Linked DNA regions of Arabidopsis thaliana. The protein of the gene in region 2 interacts with the protein of the main gene of each other region in a pairwise test. Each region holds a gene or a part of one and is shown on either strand. Other genes may lie near its edges.

The links. The genes of interacting proteins can lie anywhere in the genome.
Region 1: the proteins of FRS9 (region 2) and AT3G59470 interact in a two-hybrid assay, tested with the Arabidopsis thaliana proteins (one large-scale study listed by BioGRID).

Annotation. Positions count from the first base shown.
Region 1 is NC_003074.8:21,977,094-21,984,246, reverse strand, and holds AT3G59470 (Far-red impaired responsive (FAR1) family protein), read left to right. Parts: upstream 1-3,407; 5' UTR 3,408-3,718; coding exon 3,719-3,719; exon of another isoform or gene 3,720-4,114; coding exon 4,115-4,704; intron 4,705-4,947; coding exon 4,948-5,148; 3' UTR 5,149-5,437; downstream 5,438-7,153. Other genes in the region: AT3G59480 (pfkB-like carbohydrate kinase family protein), read right to left, coding at 25-141, 233-565, 743-1,144; AT3G59460 (F-box/LRR protein), read right to left, coding at 6,064-6,093, 6,186-6,335, 6,723-6,734; AT3G59455 (Bifunctional inhibitor/lipid-transfer protein/seed storage 2S albumin superfamily protein), read right to left, coding at 7,117-7,153.
Region 2 is NC_003075.7:17,900,840-17,908,499, forward strand, and holds FRS9 (FAR1-related sequence 9), read left to right. Parts: upstream 1-3,692; 5' UTR 3,693-3,773; coding exon 3,774-3,789; intron 3,790-3,897; coding exon 3,898-5,351; intron 5,352-5,432; coding exon 5,433-5,600; 3' UTR 5,601-5,862; downstream 5,863-7,660. Other genes in the region: AT4G38150 (Pentatricopeptide repeat (PPR) superfamily protein), read right to left, coding at 372-1,280; pde191 (Mitochondrial transcription termination factor family protein), read left to right, coding at 1,573-2,556, 2,838-2,881, 2,957-3,065; FRS5 (FAR1-related sequence 5), read right to left, coding at 5,863-6,036, 6,373-7,660. UniProt on the Arabidopsis thaliana protein: Putative transcription activator involved in regulating light control of development. May act as a negative regulator specific to phyB signaling.

The DNA of each region.
Region 1 (7,153 bases), on a different chromosome or scaffold from region 2:
TTTGATGAATTATTTGGTATATACCTCAAGCACAGCACGGTCATCAACAATCTTGCAAAGCAATGCACCAACAAATGAATCACCAGCACCAGTTGTATCTACTGCATCCACATGGAAGGGATCAACAGATCCACGGAAGCTCTGTAATCATATACATACAAGAACACAACTTAAGTAACATTAATGGTAAAGTCAAATCCACAAGAAAGAAAAACTCTTCGAAAACCATTACCTTGGTGTAGTATCTACAACCCTTTTCACCTAGAGTGACCAAGAGAAGTTTCAGATTAGAGTGCCACAGAGACAAAGCAGTCTCATCATCAACCTTATCAGATCCAGTCAAGAACATAAGCTCTTCATCGCTGACTTTGATCACTTCAGCTTTGTCCCAGATGCTAAGAATCTGCTTCTGAGCCTCCTCCTTCGAGGGCCACAAAGGAAGCCTCAAGTTCGGATCATATGAAAGCAACGCACCAGCTTCCTTAGCCACCTCCATGGCTTTCAAGTGAGCAGATCGACATGGCTCAACGATCAAGCTTATGGATCCGTAGTGGAACACCTTAGCCTGTGTAAAACAAAAACAAAACAGAGCACTCATTAACCTAACTTGACATCTACGTTACGTATACCAACAACCGTTACGTTAATGATGTAGCACCGTTCGCTAATTAAATGTGAGACACGGACCCAAAAAAGAATTTGCCTACGTGTCATATATTAATTAAAAATAAAAATAACGTACAGATCTGATGACATCAAGATTGAGCTCGTCGGGACGGAGGAGCATATCGGCACTAGGGTTCCGGTAGAACATGAACTCACGTTCTCCATCAGATCTTAGTGTCACGAACGCAAGTGCAGTCCTGGCTCCAGTGTCGAAATTGATACCTTCAGCAGAGACACCGTTCTGTTTCAAGATTCCGGCGAGCATGTGACCGAACTCGTCGTCACCGAGTTTTCCAACGAAAGCGGCACGACCGCCTAGACGGGAAATGGCGATGGCAACGTTGGCAGGTGCACCACCGGGGGCTTTGATGAAGCCAGGAGCATCGGCGAGGGATACACCGGAGACGGTTGGGACGAAATCGATGAGCATTTCACCGAAGCTCACGATCAAGCTTTTCTCGCCGTTAGATGCAGCCATTTTTAGTCGGAGTGTTTTGATCGGACGATTAAGATTGAGCAAAATAGAGAGAGATAGAGAGAGATTATGTTTTGGATATAATGAGAGGTATTAGAGAGAATCAAGGGTTTATATAGAGGTATTAGGGTGAGTGGTTTAGTCAAATCCACAAGACTTTTAATTAATACAAATTCAAATTTATCCATTTAAAGATTGATCAGATAAGATATCTAAACTGTGTTTGGTAACTTATTTTTTAATCGTAATATTCTATTGGTTGTTTACATATATGTTATGATTTGGTGAGATTTAGAGTAAATAGTGATTAATGTTTTTGACCAGATTTTATGCTTCTTCAATGGGACCTAGACGACGTATTTCACAAGGTTAATTTATTAGGGGCTTATCCGTTGTTAAGATAGTACTATTAAGGGGAGTAAAAGATACTATTAATCCTCCTCTTTTGACTCCGAATATTTTGTTTGTTTTGGATAACTTTCTTTTTCAATAAAATACCATTCATGGATAATTTTTTAGGCAAATCTACCAAAATCGAAATGTATTAATGAATGATTTGTTATAATTTAATTTCGCAAGGTTAATTACGAGGGGCTTATATCCGTTGTTGGATAAATATGTTAATATCCTCCTCTAATTTCGATTATCTCATTTGTTAGGATAACTTTTATTTCCGATTACACAAGATATTATCTCATGTAAATCTACTAAATCGAGAAATGCAAATCTGTTACAAATTTTATAAACGGGGCTAGCTTTGACATGTATGATCTTTTTATTTATCAGAGACTATCTACCAAGTACCAACACTATTTGGTTTCCTATTTCCCAAGTTATATTTTATGCATCAGTTATCACTACTAACTAACGACTATCCTTCTTCTTAGACGTTTTATTCCACGTAATTAAAGCGATTTATTGATTTCCAAAAAAAAAAAAAAAAGTGAAGAGAATTTTTAATAAATGCTAAATAAAATGGATATTTTAAAACGCAACGAAAGAAAACCATATGTTACAGATCTTTTTTTTTGGATTACTGATTCATATATATGTGGATGATTTATAATGTCTATAAAAATCTAGAGTTGCGAATTATCTAGGCATGACCAAAATCTAACTGTAACTGTATTTCGGACCGTAATCGGACCGTTTATTAACCGTAACCCAACCGTAACCGTATAAAACGGTTAATAACCGTAACTGTTAACCGTGAAAATAGATTCATTACGGTTAAAAAAATATAATAACCGTAACCGTATCAAAACCGTTGGTTAACCGTACGTTTAACCGCGCGGTTAACCGTATTATTAAAACCTTAAAAATATAGTTGTAACTGTGTATAATTCTAAATAAATAATTATTTTACTAAAATAGTAACTTAAATCGTTTAATATGCCCACTAATACGATCGAAGTTACTCCACTACTCTTTTTACCATAAATCAAATCATAAGTAGTTCATATTATTATTATTTATACTCTAAAAACTGTTTCTTAGTGCTCATAACATCTTTTCTTTATTATTGTTTTTGTTTGAAAAATATAATTAATTAAATCATTATAATTATAACCATTAATTTGTATATTCATTGGTTTATTTAAAAAAAATAGATAGCTGATTCGCTATAAATATTTGAAACACATAATCACGTAAAATAATTATTATTTGATATATCACTATTTATTTATTTATTTTATTATAAAGATTAATATAATATTTTGTCTCATATATTAATTATATCATAATTATCAAATAACCGTAACCGTATCTAACCATAACCGTATTTAACCGTAACCGTTTTAACCGTATATATAACGGTTAATGTTAAGGTTAAAAAAAGTTATAATCATATACGGTGGTTAATAAACCGTAACCGTAATAACCGTAACCGTGGTCATGCCTAAAACTATCTGGATAGGTTTCGATGATAACAGTGATATAAGCTAAATCATGAAATATAAGTAACTGAATATATTACTATGTAATAAGTTTTTTGCTATTCAAAATTTCTATGATTAAAAAAACTTAGCTAATGTAGTTTGGTAGTCAAATCGTATACTAAACCATCATTAGCTGGTTATCAATAGCATTTTAAAGAAAGTTAATTAAACCGGCTGAATTGGCCTGGTTGACACGAACAAAATGAATGCTAGAAATTAGAGAAATTTTGTTAGTACAAGGATGATTATGTAAATGAAGGATAATAAAGGGGTCAATTTTAACATTTATTAAAAGTCATGGACACACCGGTCTAACGGGTGCGTCGGTCGGCGAGAATTACGCTGTAAAAAATAAAATAAAATAAACATGTAATGAAAGAAAAAAAAAGAACATGAGGAATAATCATACGAGGCGAAGCGCACCGGAGGAACCATAAGTCGATAAACCCAAAGCTTAGATGAACGGTGAGTTGACTTCTTTCCGATTTTGACCCAATCATCTATCGCCACGTCATAGGGTACTGCGTCCTCTGCAATCCATACCCTGAACCGGCACCTTCTCTGTCTCTCCCCCAAATCGAAAACCTAATTCGATCGTCGTCTCCGACCTACATCTGCCGGAAAATATCTTTTGACCAGTAAGATTGTTTTATTCCTTACACCATTATTTCGGGTTTTTAATTTTCGATTTTGGATTGATCGATTAAGCCACTTAGACTAGTCCCTGCGAAAGAATGAGACTGAGAAGTTGGACATCTCGATACTTTTGGAAACCCCGATTTGTTGATGACTCTTGAATCTATGGGACGGTGAATCCCAAAGAATGGTTCCATTTTAAGTTTGTTTTGTATTGTTGGTGGAGGCTGGATGATTTTGAGAGCACTTGTACTTGAGCTTTGTTCTCATATCTTGAATTAGACAGTGGAATAGAAAAGATGACAACTTTGTATTAGTAAGATGATGAACACTTGTAGCTCTTCTTGCTAGATATTTGATTAGTGGAATTGCTGTTTTCCCTTTTTTTGAGTTGCAGTGGATTTCAGGATTGATAATGGAGTAGCTGCTGGGATGATGATGGGGATTCCTGTTGAGCTTGAGGTTACCACGGTTGAGAATCATAATGAAATGGGTGAAAGCTCTGGTCAAGCAATGATTGAGCAAGATGATGACAACCATAATGAACTCGGTGAAAATTCTGGTGAGCAAGATGAGAAGGTGGATCTTGATTCTATTCCTCTGGCTGTTGCAGATATGACAGAGGCTCAAGGAGATGAGCCTTACGTTGGCCAGGAGTTCGAATCTGAAGCAGCGGCTCATGGTTTTTATAATGCGTATGCTACTAAAGTAGGGTTCGTCATCCGTGTTAGTAAACTGTCACGGTCAAGGCATGATGGATCTCCCATAGGCAGGCAACTTGTTTGTAACAAGGAAGGTTACAGGTTGCCTAGCAAGCGGGATAAGGTTATTAGACAAAGAGCGGAAACAAGGGTTGGATGTAAAGCAATGATCTTGATTAGAAAAGAGAACTCTGGTAAATGGGTTATCACAAAGTTTGTCAAGGAGCACAATCACTCTTTGATGCCTGGCAGAGTTCGAAGGGGTTGCATTTATGATCAATATCCGGTTAGTTGTTACTCTCTTTCGTTGGTCAATATTTCTTTATATTCAGCCATTGCATTTGAAAATCCAAATTGGCGTTTCTTGGTTAGCTGGTTAATATATATATATATGCTGATGTGATACTGGTTCGTGACTAGTTGCTATATAGCATATTCATATTCATGTGCTGGTGTTTTGATTTTGCTTATATATCAGTTGTTACTAGAAAAGACTTAAATTCTAAAACTTTGCTCTCCTCATTTGCAGAACGAACACGACAAAATTCAGGAACTGATGCAGCAGCTAGCAGCAGAGAAAAAGAGAGCGGCTACTTACAAAAGACATCTGGAGATGCTATTTGAACAGATCGAACAGCACAACGAAAGCCTTTCTAAGAGAATCCAACACATAGTAGACAATGTGAGGAATCTGGAACAGAGAGATCATCAACAGAACCACCAAGTATAGTCTTTTGGTCTCTGGTTTTTCAGCACTTTGATTTAGGAGATAGATCTTCTCTTCCCCCATTTTCTCTCTTTAATAAAGATTTTTCTTGTCGAAAACAAAAGAGCTTCAATTGCCTTAAAGAAAGTTTTGTTTATTCTTCTTCTTCTTCTGTTCTGACATTGGTTTCGTTCGGATGATGCATAGCCATAGGTTAGTGCACATAAAGTGAAGGGTTTTTACTTTTTACGCTCTAATTAAATCGGCATTCTCCTGAAGATCTTTCTGCTGGTAAAAACTAGTAAGCTATATATACTACAGATTGGAAGAATCCTAAAACTCTATTTAAGATCACAAATCAGAAAGTGAAGAATCAAATCAGCTTGTTAATCACCACCTTTCATCGTCTAAGATGTTGCACTTGGATGAAACTGAAAATCCAAGCTAATGGACCACATATTGTGTAAAGTCTGCAAGAGTGGAAAGAAGTGTGAAATTGCATTGTAGGGACGATGTAGTCATCAAATACAGAAATGTTAATCTTATGCCAGGTGGAGTTTGACGAGGTAGGTAAGGTTACTCGTGTATCATCTAAGGGAGAGACTGCCAAAAGATACAGAAAAATAGCTCCCTGAAATTAAAGAGGCCCTTGCAACTGCAAGAGCAATGCGACATGTACATGAATTGTTACACAGAATAATTTGGTAAACTACATGAGATCTTGCATTTGGATGAAACCGAAAATCCAGGAAGCCTCAACTATAGACTATAGAACCCTTTTGGTTTGCAATACATGGTATTATCCACCACAGCTTCCGCAGCCTAGCACCACTTCACCGCATTCCGACTCCCCAATAAATTTATGTAAGCGTTCCACCTCTTCCGCATTTCCTCCATAACCATGAACATGCAGCATCTTCACTTGGAACGGAGGCATGGTCACATCGCCTGTGTAACTCTATCCAGCCCCTGGAAAAGCATCAAGAAGATGGATGTAAAGGCTCAACCACTAAGTCCCTAATCTCTGACTCTCTTTAGATATATTAGCTAATGATACGTACCTGGATGATTAGAGTTTCAAGCTTTGGAGACTGCTCAATCAGAAGTGGCAGCAGTTTCCAACCTCTTTTGTTCGTACTCCCAAAAGACAAGCTTACCAGATTGTTGAACACCGGTAGAAGTAGTCCACGTCTAACACAGCGAAGAATCACCTGAAACACAAACACACGCTCTTAGTGAATGTCCATGCAAAGAAAGAAAGTGGCAAACGTAAAGAAAATACGCTCATAATTAAGTATAGTAAACCGTTTTTCTTCGCTATATTAAGTTTTCAAACCCTAACATCATCAACTAATTATAGGATAATTAGGAAACAAAACTTTTTTTGGGGGATTTAAGGAAGTTCGTAACGACAACGTTATAAAGGGAAAACGATAATTTCTTGTGTCGTCATAACAATCGCGACATGTGAACTAATTAAACTTGTTATAAATACATTTGAAAGAGTCGGGGACCACACCCTTTAATAAACTCACAAACACGAGAATGGACGCCTGAGAGTTCTAGATAGTAGATACCATCTTTTCCCTTCTTGATACCATCTTGGCCATGTTTGTGTGACAGTTAATTATGAAGTGAAATCACAAGAATAGTCCCAAGGGCCAAGGATGTATGCATAATTAACGCGTACATGCCGTTTTCTCTAGTTTAGACTACTTTTTTTTTGTTTCTTTAAATAGAAGTAGACTACTTTTTTATTTCTTTAAATAAAAGCAAGTACAAAGTATCGAATTTGAAAGAGTGAAATAGTAATTCCAAAAAGCAAGAAAAACGTGGAATGTGGGAGAGATGGTTCATAAATATAATGAAGGCCAATTAGAGCAACAACTTATACGATTAAAAAAAGACAAGGAAAGACTTGATTAACTAATCTTATTAAGTATCTCCGGTTCGGCTTGACGACCGCTTATTGCTTTTGTTGGTTGACTATTTTTAGCCACACTTGAAATAGGACTTGAGACTTTGATTT
Region 2 (7,660 bases):
TAGTTTTATGCCTGGTGTATGTAACCAATGATACTATTGTTCATATTTGTTCATGAAGTCGGCCACATTTGCAATAGACAGTCACATACATCATTGGTAATGACTGATAAGCGTCAAGCATAATTTGACACCCTATACCGCCAACACAACGCTATTCATTGAACTTGCAATCAATATTAGAATGCATGAAAACAGGGAACTACATCTACAACTACACATTTTTAAAGGACATAGGAAAAAAAAAAAAACTCGATACCTGACTCCAAGCAGAAAAAGGAAGACTCATATTGATTTTCACTTTCAAGGTTGTTATTACAAGTCAAGAAAACATCTTACTGAGACGGCATACTTAACAGCACTGCGTAAGTAAATCAGAAGGGTTTCTCGGTTGGTTTCTTCTTGAAGATGGCTTCCCAAGCCAAAGACGGAAATGGAGCCCTTTTATCCATGAACTCCTTGACAGCCTTAACATTAACGGCAAATCCTTTTTGGTTTAAGGTATCAATAGCGGACTGGGCTTGTTCAACCCCCTTTACTCTGCACAAGGCATCAACCAATTCAACGAAAGTGGGGACGTTAGGAGAGTGACCAGACTCAAGCATCTCACTACAGAAAGCAACAGCATCGTCAAGCATGTTGCAATTATACAATCCCTGAACCAACACACCGTAGCTGAAGGCATTAGGGGCAATCCCATTGTTCTGCATTTTCCTGAAAATCCTCTTAGCGTCTTCAATTTTATGAGCCTTGCAAAAGGCCTCAACGACAGCAGTGTAGATAACGACCTCAGGGATTGTACCCTTGTCACGCATCAATCCGAAAAGCTTCATGGCCTCTTGTACAAGCCCATCTTTGCAGAGGCCGTCAAGCATGGCGACGGCGTTAGGGATGAGACCTCCTTCCTTCATCTTCTTGAAGATCTCATCGGAATCCTCAGGCGGCGGTAAGGGCTCCTGCGGGTATTGTTCCGGTTTGGGGGTTTCCCGTGAATCCTGATTGACTCCAAGCTTGAACTGTTCGAGGAAGCCATCGTCAGACAGAGTAGTATCACTCTTTCCAAGGTTGTGGGCTTGTCTAGCGGGTGGTTCTCTGTGAGAGTTGGAAGATCTCTCCCCTCGCAAGGGTCTGTTGGGTAAGGGCTCTGGAGGGTTCTGCTGCTCGTCTACTTGACCATTGTCGCCCGTTGAGAGAAAGCGTGTTGCGGACATCGACGGCGTCGTAACACGAATCTGCTTCGCCATCTGCCTTGCAAAAACGACGGCTTTGGAGGAAGGCACCATCGTTATCTGCCGCTGATTCGAAAAGTTAGGGTTTTGCAGATTTTGACGGAGAGAGAAGAAGGGGAGGGTTTAGTCACGCGAGAAGGATTGAGGGATATAACAGTCATTTACTCTACAGGGGGTATAAGAAAGAAAGAAGGTCCTCACTCCTCCGTGTGGATAAGCTTCTCACTTTCAGTTCAATTGGATAGCCGGAAAGGCTCTCCTCCAAGGTAAATTCCTCTCTACTTCCTTGTTAAAGCTCGAATCATCTCTAAGTTAAGCAAAATTGGTGTGTTGTAGTGGCGTTTATATGGAGGTGACAAATACGAGCAGCATCATGTGGTTCTTCAGGGACAAAGGTTTCGATGATCCGAGTATCGACAAGATGTTGAGAAAATGCAAACAGTTGGAAAAGGCTCAAAGCGATGTGGCATCAGAAAACTGGGACTACCTGAGTAACATTGTTGGTATCCAAGAGAGAAAACTCCCTTACATCGTCTCTCGATGCCCCAAAATCCTGACTTTACGCCTCGATGAGAGACTCATCCCGATGGTCGAGTGCCTCTCCAGTCTTGGAAGGAATCCTCGGGAAGTTGCTTCCGCCATTACCAAATTTCCTCCAATACTCTCTCATAGCGTGGAGGAGAAACTCTGTCCCCTTCTTGCTTTCTTTCAAGCGTTAGGTGTGCCTGAGACTCAACTTGGCAAAATGATACTTTTTAACCCAAGGCTTATCAGCTACAGCATCGACACCAAGCTGACAGTGATCGTCAGCTTTCTTGCTAGCCTTGGCCTTGATCAAGATGGGATGATTGGCAAAGTTCTGGTGAAGAACCCATTTCTTATGGGGTACAGTGTTGATAAAAGGTTACGGCCTACCACTGAATTCTTGAAATCATCCGTTGGCCTGAGTGAGGATGGCATTAAGTCGGTGGTCATGAATTTCCCACAACTTTTGTGCAGAGACGTTAACAAGATTCTCAAACCAAATTATGATTATTTGAAGGAGTGTGGGTTTGGAGATTCCCAGATAGCAACCATGGTCACTGGTTATCCCCAAATCTTGATTAAGAGTGTTAAGAATTCACTACAGCCTAGGATCAGATTCCTCGTCCAGGTGATGGGAAGAGGCATGGATGAAGTGGCTTCTTATCCTGAATTCTTTCACCATGGATTGAAGAAGAAGGTCGAATCGAGGTTTAAACTTGTCAAAAAGAACAACATTGACTGCAGCCTTAGAGAAATGCTGGACTGTAACACAAAGAAATTCCATGAGAAGTTTGGCTTTTCGGAGGTAACTGCAAGCTTCTAGCTTTTATATCTCTCTCTAGTTTTTTCCTTCATCAGGCTCTCTCTGTAAGCTGTTTTCAGCTTGTGCACCAATTTCTAGCACGAGCTTTTCCTTGAGTGATTGTGATATCAATAGAGTGTTTTCTTCCAGATATCATCGATTATTCACTATGCATTCGTTTATCATGGATTCTACACTTCCTTTTGAAAATTACCTAATTATGATAGAACCACCACCATGGCCCGATCAAGTGCATATCCATAGAGTGGTTCCTGTGTTTTCAGGTATTCAACTGCAATCAAAATGGGATGTATATGTTGTTGGATAAGTCAGTGTCATTATTGGCTTGTGATTATTGCAGCAACCGACAAGCAAAAGAAGTGTCTGCTTAGCCTAACTGCAGAACAGAATATGCAGCAATGCAGTCTAGCTGCTTGTCGGAAGTATGGGTGGGTAAAAAGCCCCTAGTCATTCCACAAATATGGAGGCCCCTAGTCAAAGGTCACATTTGATGACAAAGAGATGGTTGATCGTTCTCTGCCTATATAGTATGTACCTGTCATATAAAAATGAAACCCCCTCTGCTCTCTCTTTTGGATGAGATCAACCGTATTTTAAACCGGCCAAACTTGAAAGTTTTTTTTTGCTTCAAATGCTCTTTCAAGTAGAGTCCCTTTTGTTATTCACGTTTTGTAGCTATTCTATTCTCTCTCCTTGGACTGGTGTTTTTGTTCTTCGGTTTTTCCGATCAAAGTTGAATCAAGAAGAAGTTCGCTGTTTCTTGTGGTTGCTTGTTGGGCTTCTGTGCCTTTTTGATTTTTTCTATTTTGGGCCTGTGTGCCATGTTTTCGGCATTTCTGCTTTGTTGGGCCTACGTGCCTTTTCGAGCCTTGTAGTTTTCTTTGTTTAAAGCACTCAATAATTGTTTGTTGACGGACCAAAAAACTCAAATAGGCCCGACTTAATTTATTATTTTAAGGGCCCAAAATTAAGGACTAGGCCTGCCTACCAGTCCCAACTCGCAACATTGGTTATGGTAAACTAACAGCTTGCCGTTTTATGTTATAAAAACGGCAGGAGAGTGTAGGCTTAGATAGACAAACCCGTCACCGAGTTCGGTTGGATCCAACAGCAAACCTTAAAGCGTACTCCGTCCGGTCGCGGAAGCCATTGATTCAGTTACAGTTACAAGTTTAGGGTTTTAAAGCCATATCTTGCGAATGGCTATAATCGCAGGTAATCATCTCTAAAATTCTCTCTGCAGTTTGTCTTTCCCGAATTGATAAGTCAGTCGCTTCTGCAACTGTGTTCCTTCTGATACCCAAAACTTTCCATTTGGGATAGTGGCAGAATTAGTGGAAGAAGTAAGCATGAGCAGGGTCGAGCATGTATTGAACTATCTGAAACGTAGGCAGCTCGAGAATCCTGGTTTCTTATATGCAATTGAGGACGATTGTGGGAATGTTTTCTGGGCGGATCCAACTTGCAGGTTGAATTACACCTACTTTGGTGATACCCTAGTCTTTGACACCACCTATAGGAGGGGTAAGAGGTATCAAGTGCCATTTGCTGCCTTCACCGGGTTCAACCATCATGGGCAGCCTGTTCTTTTTGGTTGTGCTCTCATACTCAACGAGTCTGAGTCCTCCTTTGCGTGGCTTTTCCAAACTTGGCTTCAAGCAATGTCTGCTCCCCCTCCTCCTTCTATTACAGTTGAACCAGATCGCCTGATACAGGTTGCTGTTTCTCGAGTTTTCAGTCAAACCCGCCTTCGTTTCAGCCAGCCCCTCATCTTCGAGGAAACTGAGGAGAAACTTGCTCACGTCTTTCAGGCTCATCCTACCTTTGAATCCGAATTTATAAATTGCGTTACTGAGACAGAAACGGCTGCCGAGTTTGAGGCATCTTGGGACTCTATCGTCAGGAGATATTATATGGAGGATAACGACTGGCTCCAGTCCATTTATAATGCTAGACAACAGTGGGTCCGTGTTTTCATCCGAGACACCTTTTATGGAGAGCTGTCTACAAATGAAGGAAGCAGCATTTTGAACTCATTCTTCCAAGGGTTTGTGGATGCATCAACTACAATGCAAATGCTCATAAAACAGTATGAGAAAGCAATTGATAGTTGGCGTGAGAAAGAACTGAAAGCAGATTACGAAGCAACTAACTCTACTCCAGTTATGAAGACGCCCTCTCCCATGGAAAAGCAAGCTGCTAGCCTCTATACAAGGGCAGCATTCATCAAGTTTCAGGAGGAGTTTGTTGAGACCCTTGCAATTCCTGCAAATATAATTAGTGATTCAGGAACTCACACTACTTATCGTGTCGCTAAGTTCGGAGAAGTTCACAAAGGTCATACTGTCAGTTTTGACTCTCTTGAGGTGAAAGCTAATTGCAGCTGTCAAATGTTTGAGTATTCAGGGATTATATGTAGACACATATTGGCGGTGTTCAGTGCCAAAAATGTTCTTGCTCTTCCATCTCGGTATCTACTGAGGCGATGGACCAAAGAAGCAAAGATTAGAGGCACTGAGGAACAACCTGAGTTTTCAAATGGCTGTCAAGAATCTTTAAATCTCTGCTTCAACAGTCTACGCCAAGAAGCAACCAAGTATGTCGAGGAAGGTGCCAAATCTATTCAGATCTATAAAGTTGCAATGGATGCTTTGGATGAAGCTGCCAAGAAGGTTGCTGCTGCAAGTAACAGAACACCTGGAACTAGGCTTCCCAATGGGGAAGCTTACCCGTCCGAGGAAGCTCGAGAAACAGCAAATGCAACGAATCATCCAGGGGTAAGCGAATACTGGTATTTGATAATTCTTTAACATTGATGTCCTCTGTTCCTTGGGAATAAGTACTTACTTCAATGCCAGGGTGAAAAAGAGAGGACGATACTTGAACTGACAGCTGAGTTGGAGAGGACAGGCCAGCGATGTGAAGTTTATCGAGCAAACCTGCTGTCTATTTTGAGAGATATGGAAGAACAGAAGTTTCAGCTATCCCTCAAGGTACAAAATGCTAGACTAAGCTTGAAAGAGTGAGTGCAATCTGCTGGATACATAACATCACAATTCAACTCACGTACTGTGGTTGGTAACTTGGTATGCAAACATTTATGGGAATCAACTTCATGCTCTTACTCAGTAAGGAAATGATTGGGAGTACAATCTATTACAAAGGCTACCTACTGTAAGAACAGGGAAATCCTGAAAATTGGGTCCCTCTTTCAAAAACCCTATAAGAGATATAGTACATGAGCAATATGTTATAGATGAGAATAGCAGTCGGAATTTGTTGCTTGTTTCACAGATTATCCTTCAAGCTAATTTTGATGTTCTGCACTTTGATGGACACTTGTAACTTTTGGTCTTCCATTTCTTTCAAAACTGAAAGTAGGTTAGTCCTGTAAGCTTCGCATTTCCTGTTTGCTAATTCCAGCTCGTTTCTGAGCTGATTAATCTTCTTGTCCATTTCGTCCTGCGAAAGTAGAGGAAATACGGTCATGCAATTAGTCAGCAGTAAAAGCACATAGCAAAATTGAGGACCTTGCAGATTGTACGGAACAAAGGCTCACAATGGCAAAATGAAGACCATACTCTTAACATGCATATGTGAATCACGAGCTCATTAGTCAAACGTTAACAGAGCAATCAGCATTATGGTACCGTCAAGGAGACAAAGCAATGATTGTATTGTATGGGGCAAACCCGCACAAACGATACTTCAAACGTATATAACTATTTTTTAGAGCAACAAATTTGATTGCTATTATATCAAAAAGAAAACAAGTATCGAAAAGAAAATGATCCTCACCTCGGGCTCAGGTTGCGCCAGCACTTCTTGCTGATGTTTTCCACCAGTTACAGAACTCGCTTTAAAATGCCTGTTCGCCATAGTTCTTCTAACTTCCTTATTCATTGCCAGGGACACAGTCTTGGCAGCTTCTTGCAGAGCAACAACTGCGACATCACAAGTATACAGAGATTTTCCAGCTTCTTGCACAAAATTAGAAGCTTTGTGACGTAAGGTGTTGTATCGGACGGTATGAGACTCCAGGTAATTAGCATACGCATGCAAATTATAATCATCAAATATAACACTGCTTTTGGCATTTCTGGTCCATCTTTTTAGGATGTAGTAAGGTGGAAGTGTAAGGAGATTGGTGACCCGGAAGACTGCCAATATATGTCTGCAAATGATGCCAGAGAACTCAAACATCTGGCAACTGCAATTTGCTCTCATCTCCAAAACGTTGAACTTAACGAAATGAGCCTTGTGAGCCTCTCCATATTTCGCAACCTGGTAGGTAACAAGATCCCCATCATCGTCAGCTTTGGATGCCATGAAAGTCAGGGTTCCAACTAGTTCTTCCTGAAATCTCATAAACAACTTCCTTGTGTAAAGTTCAGACGCCTGCTTCTCCATTGGAGATGGAGTCTTCAGAACAGGAGGTGAGTTCATTGTGTCATAATCTGCTTTAACTTCTTTCTCGAGACGACTCTCCAAAGCTTTTTCATACAGCTTAAAGAACTGGCTTAGATTGGTTGAAGCGTTTATATAACCATCAAAATATGAATTGATACTATCACTACGATGAGTTAAGGACATGTCGGCAAAAAAGGTATCACGGAGATATACTGGGACCCACTGCCGGCGATCGGAGTATATTGCTTGTAGCCACTCATGATCTCTTAGCTCATACTTGTCAAGAAGTGAAAACCAGCATCTCTCAAAATCCTCAACCGACTCTGTCAGATTGACACATTTGTGGAAATCTGACTCAAACGAAGGATGCTTGAGGAAGACATGCGACAGCTTCTCCTGACATTTCTTTAAAATATGCCATTTGCAAAAGCGATGGCGGGCACCAGGAAAAACGTGCATGATGGCTGCACGTATAACAGCATCATGATCGGTGGTGATTGAGACAGGAGGGTGGGCGGACATTGCGGCTAGCCACGTATTGAAAAGCCATACAAATGAAGCCTCAGTTTCATTGATGATAAAGGCACAGCCGAAAAGAATGGGTTGGCCATGGTGATTTACACCAGTGAAGGGTGCGAAAGGCAAACGGTACCTGTTGGACCTGTAGGTTGTATCA